2 linked regions of the Tribolium castaneum genome follow. The protein of the gene in region 1 purifies or fractionates together with the protein of each later gene. This does not show direct contact. Links are inferred from orthologs where the notes say so. Each region holds a gene or a part of one and is shown on either strand. Other genes may lie near its edges.

Region 1 (6,997 bases):
AAATAATGAGTAAATAAAATCGTATACGTGGTAGTAAATCTTTTGTACTATTTAAAAAATCTTCAAATACTTAAATATATTTATGAGTTGACGTTATTGTGTGAAAAATAAGGATCCGGTGTTGCTTGGTTACACTGTTCACCATAATAGCTCACTTCCCGTACTCAAAATGAAACCGGGAACCTGAATCTACCGGATAATGATATGAAATAAATAAAAATATGTAGGTAAGTATATTACCATTTTCAAAAGAAGATAATATGTATTTAGTACAAATGAGGCATGCGTCCCCATAGCATATTTACTAAGGGGGCGACGTTGCCGTAGCCACAGCCCCAATAATCCTCTTTTTTTTTATTTTCCAACTAGGAGGGGCTGCTAAAGATATATTTTTACAGTATCTCAAAAATAACAACCAATCAAAATTCAAATTCAAAATTCATTCTCTATACATCCGATTAATCGTGTTTCAAAATTGTTGAATTCCCAGTTCAGAGCGTTGTAGAGAATGACTTCACTAGTCCAAATGTAGAAACAAAATAAAGATTTGGAGCTTCCCCACAAAGATACACTAGTTTGACGGTGCACTTCAGGTGCGTTTTCTTCAAATACAGGCAAAAAATTTTAGTGTTTATTGTTATTTATGGTGAAGATAATTGTGTAAAATAATAATGCAAAATAATTTCTCGAAAATTATCAAAATTTAAGATTCCTTTCTCTAATATAACGCTAATTTTTAAGAAAATTATTTTACATAATTATTCTCCACAATCATGTACACCATATATCGCAATAAAAACTGGAACTTTTAGCTTGCATTTGAAGAAAACGCAATTCAAAAGTTATCTTCAAACTAGTGCATCTTTGTAAAGAAGCCCACAATCTTTTTTTTCTATATTTGGATTACTGAAGTGATTTTCTACAATGCTCCAAACTCGAAATTTGCCAATTTTGAGACACTCTATATATATAATTTTTTTAACATTCTTTTTACAATTACTTATATATTCGAATTGAAAAAAAAACAACTTAAGATTTCATAATTTCATACGACATTCAAAGACGAACAATGCTAAAATGTTGCTTTGCGCAAAAAAAATTGTCGCTGGACTCAAAGTGTAAATGGTGGACGAAAAAGACAAATTGCGGTTTAGAGATCGACTTATCGAATTTCTACTGCTCGAGGTATCTAATAATAAATACAGCGGAACCTCGATAAATCGAAACTCTAGATCTTGAAAATTTGATAACAGCCATTCCATTTTAACGGACGGGACACTTTGCACTGTTAATTTCAGTTTTTACGAACAATATCAGTAGAAGTAAATTTTTCTTTATACGAACTTAGTCCCAATCAAATTGTTTGCAAACTACAACTAGAGCCACATTTATAAAGTTTGAAATACCTTCAAGAAAAAAAATACAAACTGATAACAGACGAGACACAAAAAAAATCGCTGAAATAAGCTCACATAAAAAATACACACAAGAAAAATGCCCACACGAAAAAAGATCACATCGAAAAAAATCACAAGGAAAAAATCCACATAGAAAAAACCTCAAGTTGAAACCACCCCACAAAGAAAGCCCACCTAGAAAAGAAAAGTCCACCCAAAAAAAACACATAATTAAAAGCCCAACCGTCAAAAAGCCCAAGGAGAAAAAACTCACAGAAACTCACTAAATTTCAAATTTAGATTTTATGTTAGATACCCTAACATAAATAAATAGGAATAAACCCAAAGTAAATAATGTAAAAAAATTTGTGTGCCTCCTAGTCGCTATCCCCAGCTTTATAAAGTGAAATAGCCTAACTTTTTCGAAAAAAATTGATTGTATAATTATTTCTGAAACTATACAGTGCATCTACCAAAAATAAAAAGCGATTTGAAGTAGTTGAGAGACTGAACTTCTGATTTTTTTAAATTCATATCACTTGTCACCTCCGAGTCGCAACCTCAATCTCAATTTGTACTTTATTTCACTGCAAAAAATGCAAATGCGTTGTTGCTAAATTCTACTATGAACCGACATGGCATACATGTATTAATATTTTTAATAAATATTTATTTATTGTATACGAAATTATAGAAAAATTCTGAAAAAATTCACATACATAGAGAAAAAATAAAGTATTTAATACCAAACGCTGATTTCCGTGAGATTACTATTTGTATACACCTTGTACAATACGATTTTTTTAAATTTTGATCTAGTTACCATGAGTTTCGCCAGCAGAAACGAATTGCGTAAATATCTTCAGCATTGCTTTATCTGTCACTATGTCCAAAATGTTCAGCAAAGAACAAAAAAATTATGTTGGAATCCAGGTTGGAACCTTCTTCCGTAATGGACATCGGGTTAACGTAATAACGTTAACTGTCATGAATAACTAGATCAAAAGTTTAGTAAATCGCATGGTATTTGGATGAGCACTTTAAAAACAGGTCTCTTAAAATTGTGTGATACACACTGTATTTAATAAGGTACCCAACAATTTTTTTAAAAATTTGTAAGCGTAGATAACTTCAATGTTTTTTAAATGTAGGATCTATAATAAGTATAATATATAGTAGTAATAATACAATATTAATTATTAATAAAAAAAGTTAGTTGATATACCAAATAAGTGCTACTGTCAACAATTAATGAATAAATTATTTCATTTTAGCATAATATGCAAAAACAATAAAACTAAAAAACAGAAAATAAGAAAAAAGTCACAAAATAATAATCATACCAATTTATTCTAACAATTAGGCTAAAATTACCGAAAAGTAGTCGGTGTTGTCTTCTAAAAATAAAATAATTTGACGTTTTTAAATGTTTTGTTAGTTAAAAATAGCAAATTGTTTCATGTATGAAACTCGGAGCCAATGAATCAATTTCGGAAAAGCCCGAAATCAGCCAAAAACTTTAAATAAATCACTTGTCTCCAGGCTACCGTCCTAAAACATCGATTTCTTCCAAACTAATGACAGGAAGTTATGTATACATAACCTCAACCTCTAATGAAAAAACCATTTGACAAGCCACCGCCAACTTTATGAACATTTTTCTTTTTGTACAAAACCGGTAAAACTAAAAAATGATCGAGTTACTGAAACTGGAACAATATCCGCAATTTTAGGGCGTGTAAGTTAGAAAACCACAGCGACTAATGATAAGGAAAATTTACTCACACGACCATTCCGTATGCGCCTTCTCCAATGTATGATAAGTTCGTGTAACGGGGGCCCACCTCAAATACCTGACCCCTTACAACTTCTGCATTCGGATTTACACTTGATACACCTGTGGCTTCCGCCATTTTTAGCGAAACCTCCTAAACTACCTTCCTCGATGACAAACTCACGCACACTGAAGCCACAGACTGAAGCAGAGAGGAGCCGATCCCTAATATTTATCAGCTGATATCAGATCGTTATTATTCACACTTATTACCAATTTTTTCAAACTCCAACTAATTGTAGACTCGTTAGTAACGTTTTCACGTGGATTTTTCCAAATTTGAGGCTTTTTTGGTTTTTAAAACGAATTTATTCCCAGAAAAGATAGCCAAATAACGCGCCCCCTGGTGGACCAACTGAACACTAGTCGGGAAGCACCCTAATTTTATTTTCCATTATCGAACCCACAATAGGGCTACAATTTTCATTTTGGCGGCATTTGTAATACCCTATTAGACGTTCGATAAGTTTTTAAACAGAAAAATAAAAAATTCCGATATTTGGTTTTTGACAGATGACAGGACAGGTGACATAACCCACAAAAAAGTGACGCACTAATAAAAAGTTGTTAAAAATTAATAAGCGGTTTAAAAAGCTCAGTGAACAGTATTTCCATTCAGGATGAATGCGCCACCAACCTTCGAGTCATTTTTGCTCTATGATGGAGAGAAAAAGTGAGTGGGCAAATTCTCTGGACCAAAAATTTATTTTTACAAATTGTGTTTTTAGGATAATAAGGGAACAAGACACAAAAGTGCCAAACGCGGCTATTTTTACCATAAACAAAGAAGACCACACGTTGGGAAACATGATCAGAAAGTGTGTAACAAAACATTAAGGTTTAGGTTGAATTATTTTTGATTTTTTAGCCAATTGTTAAAAGATCCGAACGTTTTGTTTGCTGGATACAAGGTGCCTCATCCACTTGAGCATAAATTTGTGTTGAGAATTCAAACAACATCTGATTATTCGCCTCAAGAAGCTTTGATGAATTCTATCACAGATTTGATTTCAGAGTTGTCTTTGTTTGAAGAACGTTTTAAGGAAGCGATCAAGGAAAAGAAAGAAGGTTTAGATTAAGTATTTGAATTTATTCACTAATAATAAAGTTTATGCTTCGATAAATCAGTCTTTGTTATGTACCCAAAAATATGTCTTGCGTCCCAGCGTCAAAAGTTTAAAATGACTTGTTTATTTATGATGGTTAATAATTCGTTTTCAATTTTTATTCAAAATAAGCTATTTAAGATTTATTAAAAGGTGGCAAAGTCTGTGCTTTAAAGCACTTACGTAAATACAGTAAAACCTCAGTGATCCGTGTACACAGGCTGTCCGTTTTGCGAGCTCCACCATGAGTAATAAAATTTTATCGGTCTATTTAAAAATTAGCCTGTATATCGAAAGTGAGTTTTCAATTAAAAAAAAAACCTCAAAAATACTTTAAAACTTGGATGATTTTTGGCTAAATTTTGAAAATAATTCTGACTGCACCGTTATGTCATTTAGGTATTTAAGAACAATTTCATTTTTGTTTACCTTTCCAGAAATTTTTTCTGACTTAATTATAATTATAGTGGTTGAAGAAAGAAACGAGCATGTAACTGTTATTAACAGAAAAATATATTTTTATTTAATTCACAATCCTTTATTTACAATTAACCTCATCAACGGATAACTTACAAAACAACTAATTTGTGTCAAATAAATATTAACTAGAAATTTTTACAAGATATTTATTAATTTGCTAAATAAATTATTAATAACAGAATATGTTCTAAAATGTCTGATCCTCCTGGCAATCTTCTGTGGCATGACCAAAGGCTGAAACAGTAATTAAACCAAATGTTAGAAAGTAAAAATTCTTACCTTCGCATATTTCGCAATAAGGCCTTTCCGGCACATGTTTATGCTCCCCCCTCTGTCCTCCATTAGCCGGCGCTAAGTCAGTATTTTGTTTGGGACAGTCTTCCGTTTCGTGCAAATCAAACTCTTCGCAAATATCGCAATAGACCCTCGGAGGCACTTGACGCTGCGGCGAACCCATCCTACAAAAACCCCATCACAAAGCAATCTCCACTAACAAATCCCTTTACAATTTCAATTCGTCAGCCATTGCCGGACTATATCCCGACTCCAAGATCTCGATCCTCGCCCTTTGCTCTTCCGTCTTCTTCTGCATATCCACGATAATCGAATTGAGGAACTTGATCTGGTTCTCTGCCATCTCCTTGTCCTGAATAAGCTGGTGACAATTGTTACATTTGGCGTTAATCTGCGAGTGAGTTAATGACTGAGCCAAAATAGCGTCCATGCAATGTTGCAATGCTGCTTGTGTGTGTCTGTAAACTTGGTTCAGGTTTCTGACAAATGTTGCTCGAGACGCGGACACCGACGAAACATGCTGGAAGGGACGCAAAGGAACGGAAGGAGAGACAGACTTCATGACATGCAACATCGGGAGAGGAACTGCAGGTAACTGCTCTTGTCGCAAATTCGACAAACCGTTCAATTGGAGTTGCAACTGTTTGATTAATTTCTTGTATCGACACAACTGAGAGGCGTAAGTGTGCACCCGTTTTAGTAATCTGGCCTGACACAGTGGCCCCTTTGACGGGAATCTCGCACGATCTAACTGCGCAGATTTAGGACCGAAATCACAATTCTGTTGGTGTTTGAGCAATTGCAGCAAATTTCGTTTGAACAATTCGAGGTTATTTGACCCAAAACCGCCCAAAATTACTGCGCTTACTACATTTTCAGGTCGTTCGCAATTTCGAGGAAGCGGCAAAGTTGGTAAAATAATTTGACCCGTCTTATTGCAAGGTACTGAAACGAGTACCGGTTTTGTGATAATTTGTGGAGGTTGAGGCACTGGTACTTTCTCAATCACAACTTTTGGAGGCGGACACGACTTACCATTGACCATTGGTACCTTAACTTCCTTAATTATCACCTTTGGTGGTACTAATACACGAACCGGTACTTGTTTCTCCACGATTTTGGGTACTTTAATATACACTGGTACCTGCTTGACCAAAACGTTCGGACCTGGCGATTGTTTCATGGTAGGTTTACCTGATTGTGGTCCCAAAAATTTATTATCGCCAGATTCAGTATTACAAGGTTGTAGAACGAAAACTTTTCGAACAATTGGTACTTCCTTAACTACAATTTGTGGTTTAGGGCATAAAGTAACAGGTTTAGCACCAACTGGAACCAGTCCAGCGTTATTAGATGATGCATCACCTGGTTTATGGTTCACTCCTTCAGGTTTTATATAAACCGGTACGTGTTTAACAATAATCCTCGGAGGCTGTGGTACTTTAACAATTTTTGGTCGACAATTTTCGGGTTCTGAGCCACCTTCCTTGCACCGTCTTTGTTCCAAAAGTAGCGAAAGCAAATTTTGTTTGAACTCGTTAACCGAACCCAATTCGTAGTGATTTAGATTCAATGATTCGATTTGGTTTTGCAGATTAGTACATCCGTGAAGACCAATTCGGGGCAAGTGGCAACTAGACTGATGGTTTGATATACGGCTTGGAGAATTAGTTAAACTGCCAAGGTCTCCAGGACGAGGTACGGGATCTACGTGCATTTTCGTGCAATATTTGCGTTGTAACTGATATAGGCTCTCTTGGAACTTCTCAAACTCAGTAGGATTACAGCCTGGAAGGCGTAATTTTAAGACTTGGTGTTGTAAATTCTCACAATCAAGTAAATTTAATTCTGGCAAGACGCAGCGATCTGAGCTAAATGGAGATTTA
Region 2 (7,534 bases), on another chromosome or scaffold:
GCCACCAAGAACGGATCCAGCGACTTTGCTCCCAGTGTAACGCCTCACTTGCCGCCCTTCGAGCTCTGGCAAACCATCCTCATTGCGATCTGTTTAGGACTGTGCATTATTCTGACGGTTGCCGGGAATATACTGGTCCTGCTGGCCTTCATCGTCGACAGGAACATCAGGCAGCCCAGCAACTACTTCATAGCGTCGCTTGCCGCCACCGATATGCTCATAGGTGACACAATTTTAACAAGTCTTGTAATTTATTTGAGAAAATTGTCAATCATTGAGATAGTGAACAGAGTGGTTGGTTCCAGGCACCGTTTCCATGCCCTTTTACACCGTCTACGTGCTGATGGGTTCCTGGGACTTGGGACCCCTTCTGTGCGACTTGTGGCTGTCCGTTGATTACACAGTTTGTTTGGTTTCCCAGTACACTGTACTTCTCATAACAATCGACCGTTTTTGTTCGGTGAAAATCGCAGCAAAGTACCGAAGTTGGCGGACGAAACCACGAGTGGTTTGGATGGTTACCATCACGTGGATCATACCGGCACTTTTGTTTTTTATTAGTATATTTGGTTGGGAGCACTTTATCGGTTATAGAGATTTGGAGCCGGGACAATGTGCCGTACAATTCCTCAAAGACCCCATTTTCAACACTGCTCTTATCATAGGTTATTACTGGACGACTTTGATTGTTCTTTTTATTTTGTACGGAGGGATTTATAAAACTGCCTACGATATGCAGAAGAAAAGTGAAGCGAAACAGAGGAAGATGCAGTCTATGGTGGCGTTAAGTGCAGGAGCGATGTCAGGAATGGCAGGACGAGCAGCAGGAATTGGTCTGTCGAAGACTCAGAGTACTTTACTGAGCCAGGATAAGCCACAGACAATCGCCGCAGTTGTGAATAACCAATCGGGAATTACAGGAAATAATTTGACTTTGAAGGAGGATTCTAGTCAGAAAACTAGTTCTAGTAAAAGTAGCACGACAGTGACCACGACGACGACAACAGCCGATACGAACAACGTGGAGAGGAAAAACTTGTGTCTTCCTACAGGTCAAACGTCTAGCGGTGACCAAGACAAGTCTGAGAGGTCGAGCAGCCCGGCATTCGAATCGGACGAGGACAGTTCAGCCCAACACCAAACCAAGAAGCGCTCTTCCATAGTAGGGATAGTGGTACAGAGCAGCGCCCCCCTCCACATGTTCGAGAACAACAATCGCGTGAACGGCGGCATCCCCTCCAGCCAACCAGAGAAGCGCTCGCCCACTCTGCCTCAGATCTCCGAGCAGAGCTCGGCCAATCCGCAAAAGCCGGTAGGTTGCTCCGCCCCTCTTCAGCCCTCCCCTTCGCCAAAATCGACTCACAGCATCATTCCGCCCCCCGAGCAGTTCCAGAGTAGCCCCCCCGGACGCCCCCGCAACTTGCATGTGACCCCTTACGACGCCCTCGTCGGCCTAGACGGCGCCGACTTGCGGTACATGGACGAGAGCTCGGTCGTTGTCCCCTCCCCTTCGTGCGAAAGCCCCCCCTCGACGCCCCCTCCCACTAACGCGTCTTTGCTCCAGACGACGCTGATCCGCACGACTAGGAAAGTCAACACGGAGGTGACTCTGAGCTCTGACCGGCCTATCACCAGTGTTTGCGAGCTGTCGGTTGATGGCGCGAGGGACTCCGACCCCAGCACCCCCTGCGGCCTCTCCGCCATCAGCCAGACAGGTAATGCGGCCGCCATCATGGCGGCGACGACCATTGTCGAAGTCAGCAGAAATAAAACTTTTACTAAAACAGACACGGACGATAACGGCGCCGCCAAGAGGGATTTCGTCAAAAACATCGGCAAGAAGCTAAAGGGGAAGAAGAAGAAGGCGGTGGTACCGTTCGGGGGGTTCGGGAGGCAGAAGTCCAAGTCGGAGAACAGGGCCAGGAAAGCCCTCAGAACCATCTCATTCATTTTGGGAGCTTTCGTCATCTGCTGGACCCCATACCATATTTTTGCTCTCGTCGTGGGATTCTGCTCGGACCCACCGTGCGTCAACGGACACGTTTACATGTTCTCCTATTTCCTTTGCTACGCCAACAGCCCCCTTAATCCCTTCTGTTACGCTCTTGCCAACCAACAGTTCAAAAAGACTTTTACTAGAATTTTAAAAGGTGATCTACATTTGACGTAAACGGCGATAATTTCGTAGTACCACCTCCTGACTAGGAACTATTTTCTTTTAAACATTACTTACTGTACTTAATACTCGTGCATAGCATTCGTTCAGGTCAATAATTACCAAAAGACAATAATATATTTATAGGAATCCTAAATTAGCTCATTAGAGGTACCACGCTGGTTTTACGCGGGACCCAAGCTTCACTAAATTATTTTAATATTTTGTAAATACACGCCTTTAGCTACAAAATGTACTTTAGTGCGCAAATACATGTAATAATTAATTGACAGTTCGGAAAATGTGGTACTGTATATATCTGTAAAGTTAAGTGTATAAGAAACCCGATTATTTATAAGTACGTAATGACAGTCTGCTGTACTGAGCCCTACCAGCTCACTCTCATTACGTTTCCAGTCCTTTGAAAACGTGCTCTAGGCGAATCAAATGAGAGTATTTTTCTTGATATTTGAGTAAATTAGGTAACAAGAGAAATTCCGTTTGTTGCAAAGGTACTATTATTTTTGGAAAGTTGAGACACTTTGTGCTGTTCTACAATAAGTGCATCGCCACTACCTTAACACATGGTAATAATGGGAGTAGAGCTGTTAAAAAAGAATCAGTTATTGTCGATATTCATTAAAGCGTTGTTTAATCAAAGTGCATTGTTAAGCTCAAGCACCACCAGTTGATCAAGCCTTGGAAATGAGTCGCCTGTATGTTATTGATTTATTGATACCCATATCGCGTAATAATGACAATAAATAACTCGTTTGTTAAAGTATTTCGAAAAATTGATTACAGTTGGAAACTTATCATTATCGATACTGTGATACGATAATGTCATTGTTAAGAATATCGATAATATTCGGTGACTTTCTCTCGTTTTTCAGCCCTAGCTCTGCTGTAATAACGCGGTTTAATTTTCAAATTATCACACTACGACCCTGTGATAAAAAACTCACATATCCGATAAAAATTTAAATCAAAAAACCTACTTGTAAATTTGTACCTATCATAAAGACGCAATCAAAACAACAAACTTGTTTTTATAGAAAGTGAGTGTTGTTTAGAAATTTCAGAAAATGAGAAACTGCTTCATTTTTGTGATTATCATTTCATCAAACAATAAATTTGAATCACTTCAGCTTGTAGGGAATAATTAAATAATAGACGTTGGTATTACAATGAAATGTGTTTTATTTTCCTTCCATTATAAACAAACATAAGAAAACAATATTCGTCAGACGCAAACAAAGATCTTATCTAAACTGTCACGAAGAGTTGATTGATGAGATAAGCAGACAAGACTTTTTCCCCAAATAGCCGCCTCAATCTATTGATTTATCATTTTATTTCCCCTCATGGTATACTCTCCACACAAACTCGCTTAATTTTTTTATATAAATATGATGAATCAAGTCCAGGGAAAAAACACAAAACTACTGAGAATCGCTTGAGGAACTGCTGCTGGAGTCCGTGGACATGACCTCCACATCCTCGGTCTCCTGTTTATGGTTCCGCGTGTCCATCGGGACACTCCCTTGCCCCACACTCATGTGAATCTCCCCCGAGGGATGCCATGCAAATTGATTTTGTTGCGCGGCGGGTATTTCCCCCGGGTGCCCCTGTCTATGTAAATCTGACAAACTGTTCTGCTGTTGCAACAAATGCCCGTTAATTGGATCGCTCATCAGCCGCCCCAGCAGCCCCAACCGCATCTCAATATCGGTGGGGTACGGCCGGCGCGGGTCCCCCTGTTGCCACGTCAAGGGGGCACATATCGCATTAGACGCGCTAATCCTGTGCGCAAATTTGATAAGTTCCTCGGACGAGACCGGCCGTTTATTTGCGCGGGAAATGGACTGGAGTTTCTGGTTGGCTTGATAAATCGCAGTGGCCAGGATTTGCTCGGCCTCTTTGAGCTGTTTTTGCAAGTTGTTAATGTCGTTGTCCTGACGCTCCACTTCGGCCTTCAAGATGTCCATTTTTTTGTCGATTTGCGCCTGTTCAGCGGCCAGTTTAAGGGTTTCAGTCAGTTCGGTGTTTTTGGCCACCAAAAGCTCGGTCAGTTGAGCGTATTCAGGGCCGGAAAGCTTGAGGTGCTTGGGGGCGATTGAATTCTCGATTATTTCTCTAAAAAACGCAAATAAAACCATACGAAATGACCCGAAAGGGGGACGTACTTGGAGATTAACTCAATATCGTCGAGGATGTAAAGGAGTTTTTCCTTCGTGCTCATTTGAGACGACATAATGATGGGGAAAAACACTCACGGGTTTAAATATTAAACGAAATAATCAATTGAACAGTTTTTATTTCGAACACAACCTCAAATACACAAATGTCAAAATAACGCGCACACTGCGATGCCATCTGCCCAGAGAATAACTAAATCGTAAGAGCGGGAATTTTAATCGAAAAAATTACTTTATTGAAAGAAACCTAAGCTAAATTAAAATATATACACAAAATTCAATTCTCTTCACTCTTGACTTGAACCGCCGGCTCTTCCTGCTTCACATCGTCATCCTGTGTCTCATCTTTACTATTCTCATGCAATAAAACGTACTCCCTTGAGCTGAACCCAAACTTGATCACGTCTTTCTCCAACAACTCCACATATTTACTCGGCTCTATCTTCTTATTATTGATAAAAGTCCCATTAGCCGAGTTCAAATCAATCAAATACGGCCTTATTCTCTTCCCTGAAAAAAACAATGAAAAACCCAACACACTACCAGCTGTCCCACAAACCAGTGGTGCCATCCTCACGCGTGAAAGGGACTAGGCGATACTGCAAAGCTGCGTGTTGTTTTGAGCACGAAGGGTGATCTACAGGGAGATCAACAACTTTGCGATCGCGCCCAATCAAGTAGGCGCTTTCGCGATGTATGTATAAAGTCTGAAGGGCCTTTTCGCCCTTAAAAGGGTACAACCGCCACCGACGTTTCGGCTTGCAAGCCTCAGGCGGCTCGCTATATTTTATAACAACGCCACGATAAGTGTTAGTTTCTTCGGTAAGTTTTCCCGAAAGACCGAAATTCGGTTTTTGCTTTTCCTTCTGGTCTTTTTCCTTCTTGTCGGATTTTTTGTCGTCCGACTCGCGGCCCCAACGGGCGTTCGAGTGGTCAAAGGAGGCGCTTCTGCTACGCCGCCTTGGATGGTTCTCTCTGTTTCGCTCCCGGTTGTGGTAATTTTTGTTATCGTCCCGTCGGTTCCTGTAATCCCGTTCCCTGTCTCTGTAATCAGGACGCCGGTTTCTGAACCTGTTATCGTGAGAACGGTGGTCATTGGGGCGGTTTCTCCTGTCGTCATGCCGCCCCCGATCGTCCCGGACCCTCTTATCGTCCCTCTCCCGCCTGTCCCGATTTTCAGGCACAGGACTCCGCTTGCGTTTCCTTTAAACACAACTAGTATTTTCCCTTAAAACCACCAACAATCATACCTGTCGGTTTCTTCCTCATTTGTTGGCTTTTTGTCCCTCTTTTTTGCCTGTTTATTCGCCTCGTCACTTGCCACAGGCGGAGTTTCGTGTTTTTTATGCGAGTTTGCCTTCGTTTTGGTTTTCTTCGGCGATTCTTCAGTCTCAGGTTTCGATTCGGTTTTCTTGCTTTTACGTTTCGGGCGCCGTTCGGGTGATGAATCGGAGCTTTCGCTGCTTGAATCTGATGAACTGGAGCTGCTGGAAACGCGCTTCTTCTTCTTTGAGCCCATTTTTTGTTTGTTTGGGCGAAGTAACTTTAAGGTTATAAGAAACGCTACGTCTCGCAATTGACAGGTGTGCCAATACAACCGGCGAAAAAAAATATTGTGGGAAAAAATTAATTAAATTTGCATTATTATGTTCCGATTATAGTTCTGACGAAGACTAATTGTTAAATAATCTTAAAAACTGGCGTTTTTTCTCGAAAACTGATCGCTGATGCTGACAATTGACCCAACCTCAACTTTTGACATTGACAGGTCCCGCACATGTCATCGTTTTTTCAGTTGTGAAACACTTTAAACGTGTTCATTTTTAGACAAAAACGTGATAGTAAATAAAAAATACAATGCCGACTGTGGGTGTCAAGCGCAATTTGCTATTCGAAGCCCTTGGGCGCACTTTCAGTAAGTTGTTTGATCACTGTGCCCCCTTATTGCCCCAATTTGCAATTTCCAGCCGACGATGAATTCCAGCGTTTATGCTTCGAGTTCGGTCTTGAACTGGACGAAGTCGTAAGTATTAATCTTTCAAGCGATAAAATGATGCAATAATGCCCTAAATTTCAAGACAACTGAAAAACAGATGATAAGTAAGGAACAAGGGGAGGATTCAGCCCAGGCGGCGGGAGCCTCCGAGGAAGTCATTTATCGAATTGACATTCCTGCAAACAGATACGATTTATTGTGTCTTGAAGGCATTTCATTAGGAATTAAAATATTTCAGGGGAAGTGAGTCATTAGTTTTGCCTTGACTTTGGCACTGTAATGTTTTTGTAGAATTCAGCCGCCGGTTTACAAACGTATCAAACCGTCATCAGACAGTATTCAAAAAATTCACGTCACACCCGAAACGGCGAAAATCAGGCCTTATATCGTAGGCGCCGTTTTGCGTAATTTATACTTCACTCAAGATTCTTACAACAGTTTCATTGATTTGCAAGATAAGTTGCATCAGAATATTTGCCGCAAACGCACGCTTGTCTCAATCGGGACGCACGATTTAGATACAGTTCAGGGGCCCTTCACCTATGACGCTAAACCACCTTCTGAGTTTAAGTTTGTACCACTTAATCAAACCAAAGAGTGTGACGGCAACGGCGTTATGGAGCTCTATTCAGTAAGATTTTGACCGAGTTTGGGGGATTCCCAACAGTCACGTGATATTTCAGGCGCACGCGCAGCTAAAACAATACTTGCACATCATCAAAGACAGCCCTGTATATCCACTCGTTTTGGACAGTAATGGGGTTATTTTATCCCTTCCGCCGATTATTAATGGGGATCACTCCAAAATTACACTCAACACCAAAAATGTTTTGATTGAATGTACGGCAACTGATTTGACTAAAGTGAGTTGAACGTTTCAATTGAAACATGCCATAGTGGAAAATTTTATTCATTAAAAAAATTCATAACTCGAAAACTAAAAGTCGTAGAGCAATGCGGTTTGTTCCATTGAATTCAGCGGCTCATTTTCTGTGTTATACCAACTTTTCATGAGATTTAAAATTTTCATTTTTTTTGCTAAAATTTTCTGAGTAATACACTTGCTTACCTTCAAGAAGGTGAAAAAAAAAATTTTTTTTAAACTAACTCCTGCAAATTTTTATGGACTTCTACATGTCTTAACAACCCACTACAGTTGCTAAAAGTCCACAAAAAGTCCAAATG

The links.
Region 2: the proteins of Polr2J (region 1) and MED4 purify together in Homo sapiens (affinity purification with mass spectrometry; 3 studies listed by BioGRID and IntAct, with this or other methods). This does not show direct contact. The link is inferred for Tribolium castaneum from reciprocal best matches to the Homo sapiens genes POLR2J and MED4.

Annotation. Positions count from the first base shown.
Region 1 is NC_087395.1:21,128,760-21,135,756, forward strand, and holds Polr2J (DNA-directed RNA polymerase II subunit RPB11), read left to right. Parts: upstream 1-3,608; 5' UTR 3,609-3,851; coding exon 3,852-3,904; intron 3,905-3,959; coding exon 3,960-4,049; intron 4,050-4,099; coding exon 4,100-4,310; 3' UTR 4,311-4,355; downstream 4,356-6,997. Other genes in the region: mitogen-activated protein kinase 1, read right to left, coding at 3,183-3,310; uncharacterized protein CLIP-190, read right to left, coding at 5,005-5,051, 5,097-5,275, 5,324-6,997. UniProt on the Homo sapiens protein: Core component of RNA polymerase II (Pol II), a DNA-dependent RNA polymerase which synthesizes mRNA precursors and many functional non-coding RNAs using the four ribonucleoside triphosphates as substrates.
Region 2 is NC_087397.1:1,781,512-1,789,045, forward strand, and holds MED4 (mediator of RNA polymerase II transcription subunit 4), read right to left. Parts: upstream 4,532-7,534; 5' UTR 4,410-4,531; coding exon 4,342-4,409; intron 4,292-4,341; coding exon 3,598-4,291; 3' UTR 3,336-3,597; downstream 1-3,335. Other genes in the region: mAChR-B (muscarinic acetylcholine receptor gar-2), read left to right, coding at 1-223, 306-2,170; uncharacterized protein LOC661495, read right to left, coding at 4,631-4,863, 4,913-5,556, 5,604-5,872; beta-PheRS (phenylalanine--tRNA ligase beta subunit), read left to right, coding at 6,211-6,268, 6,321-6,376, 6,432-6,592, 6,641-6,980, 7,033-7,212. UniProt on the Homo sapiens protein: Component of the Mediator complex, a coactivator involved in the regulated transcription of nearly all RNA polymerase II-dependent genes.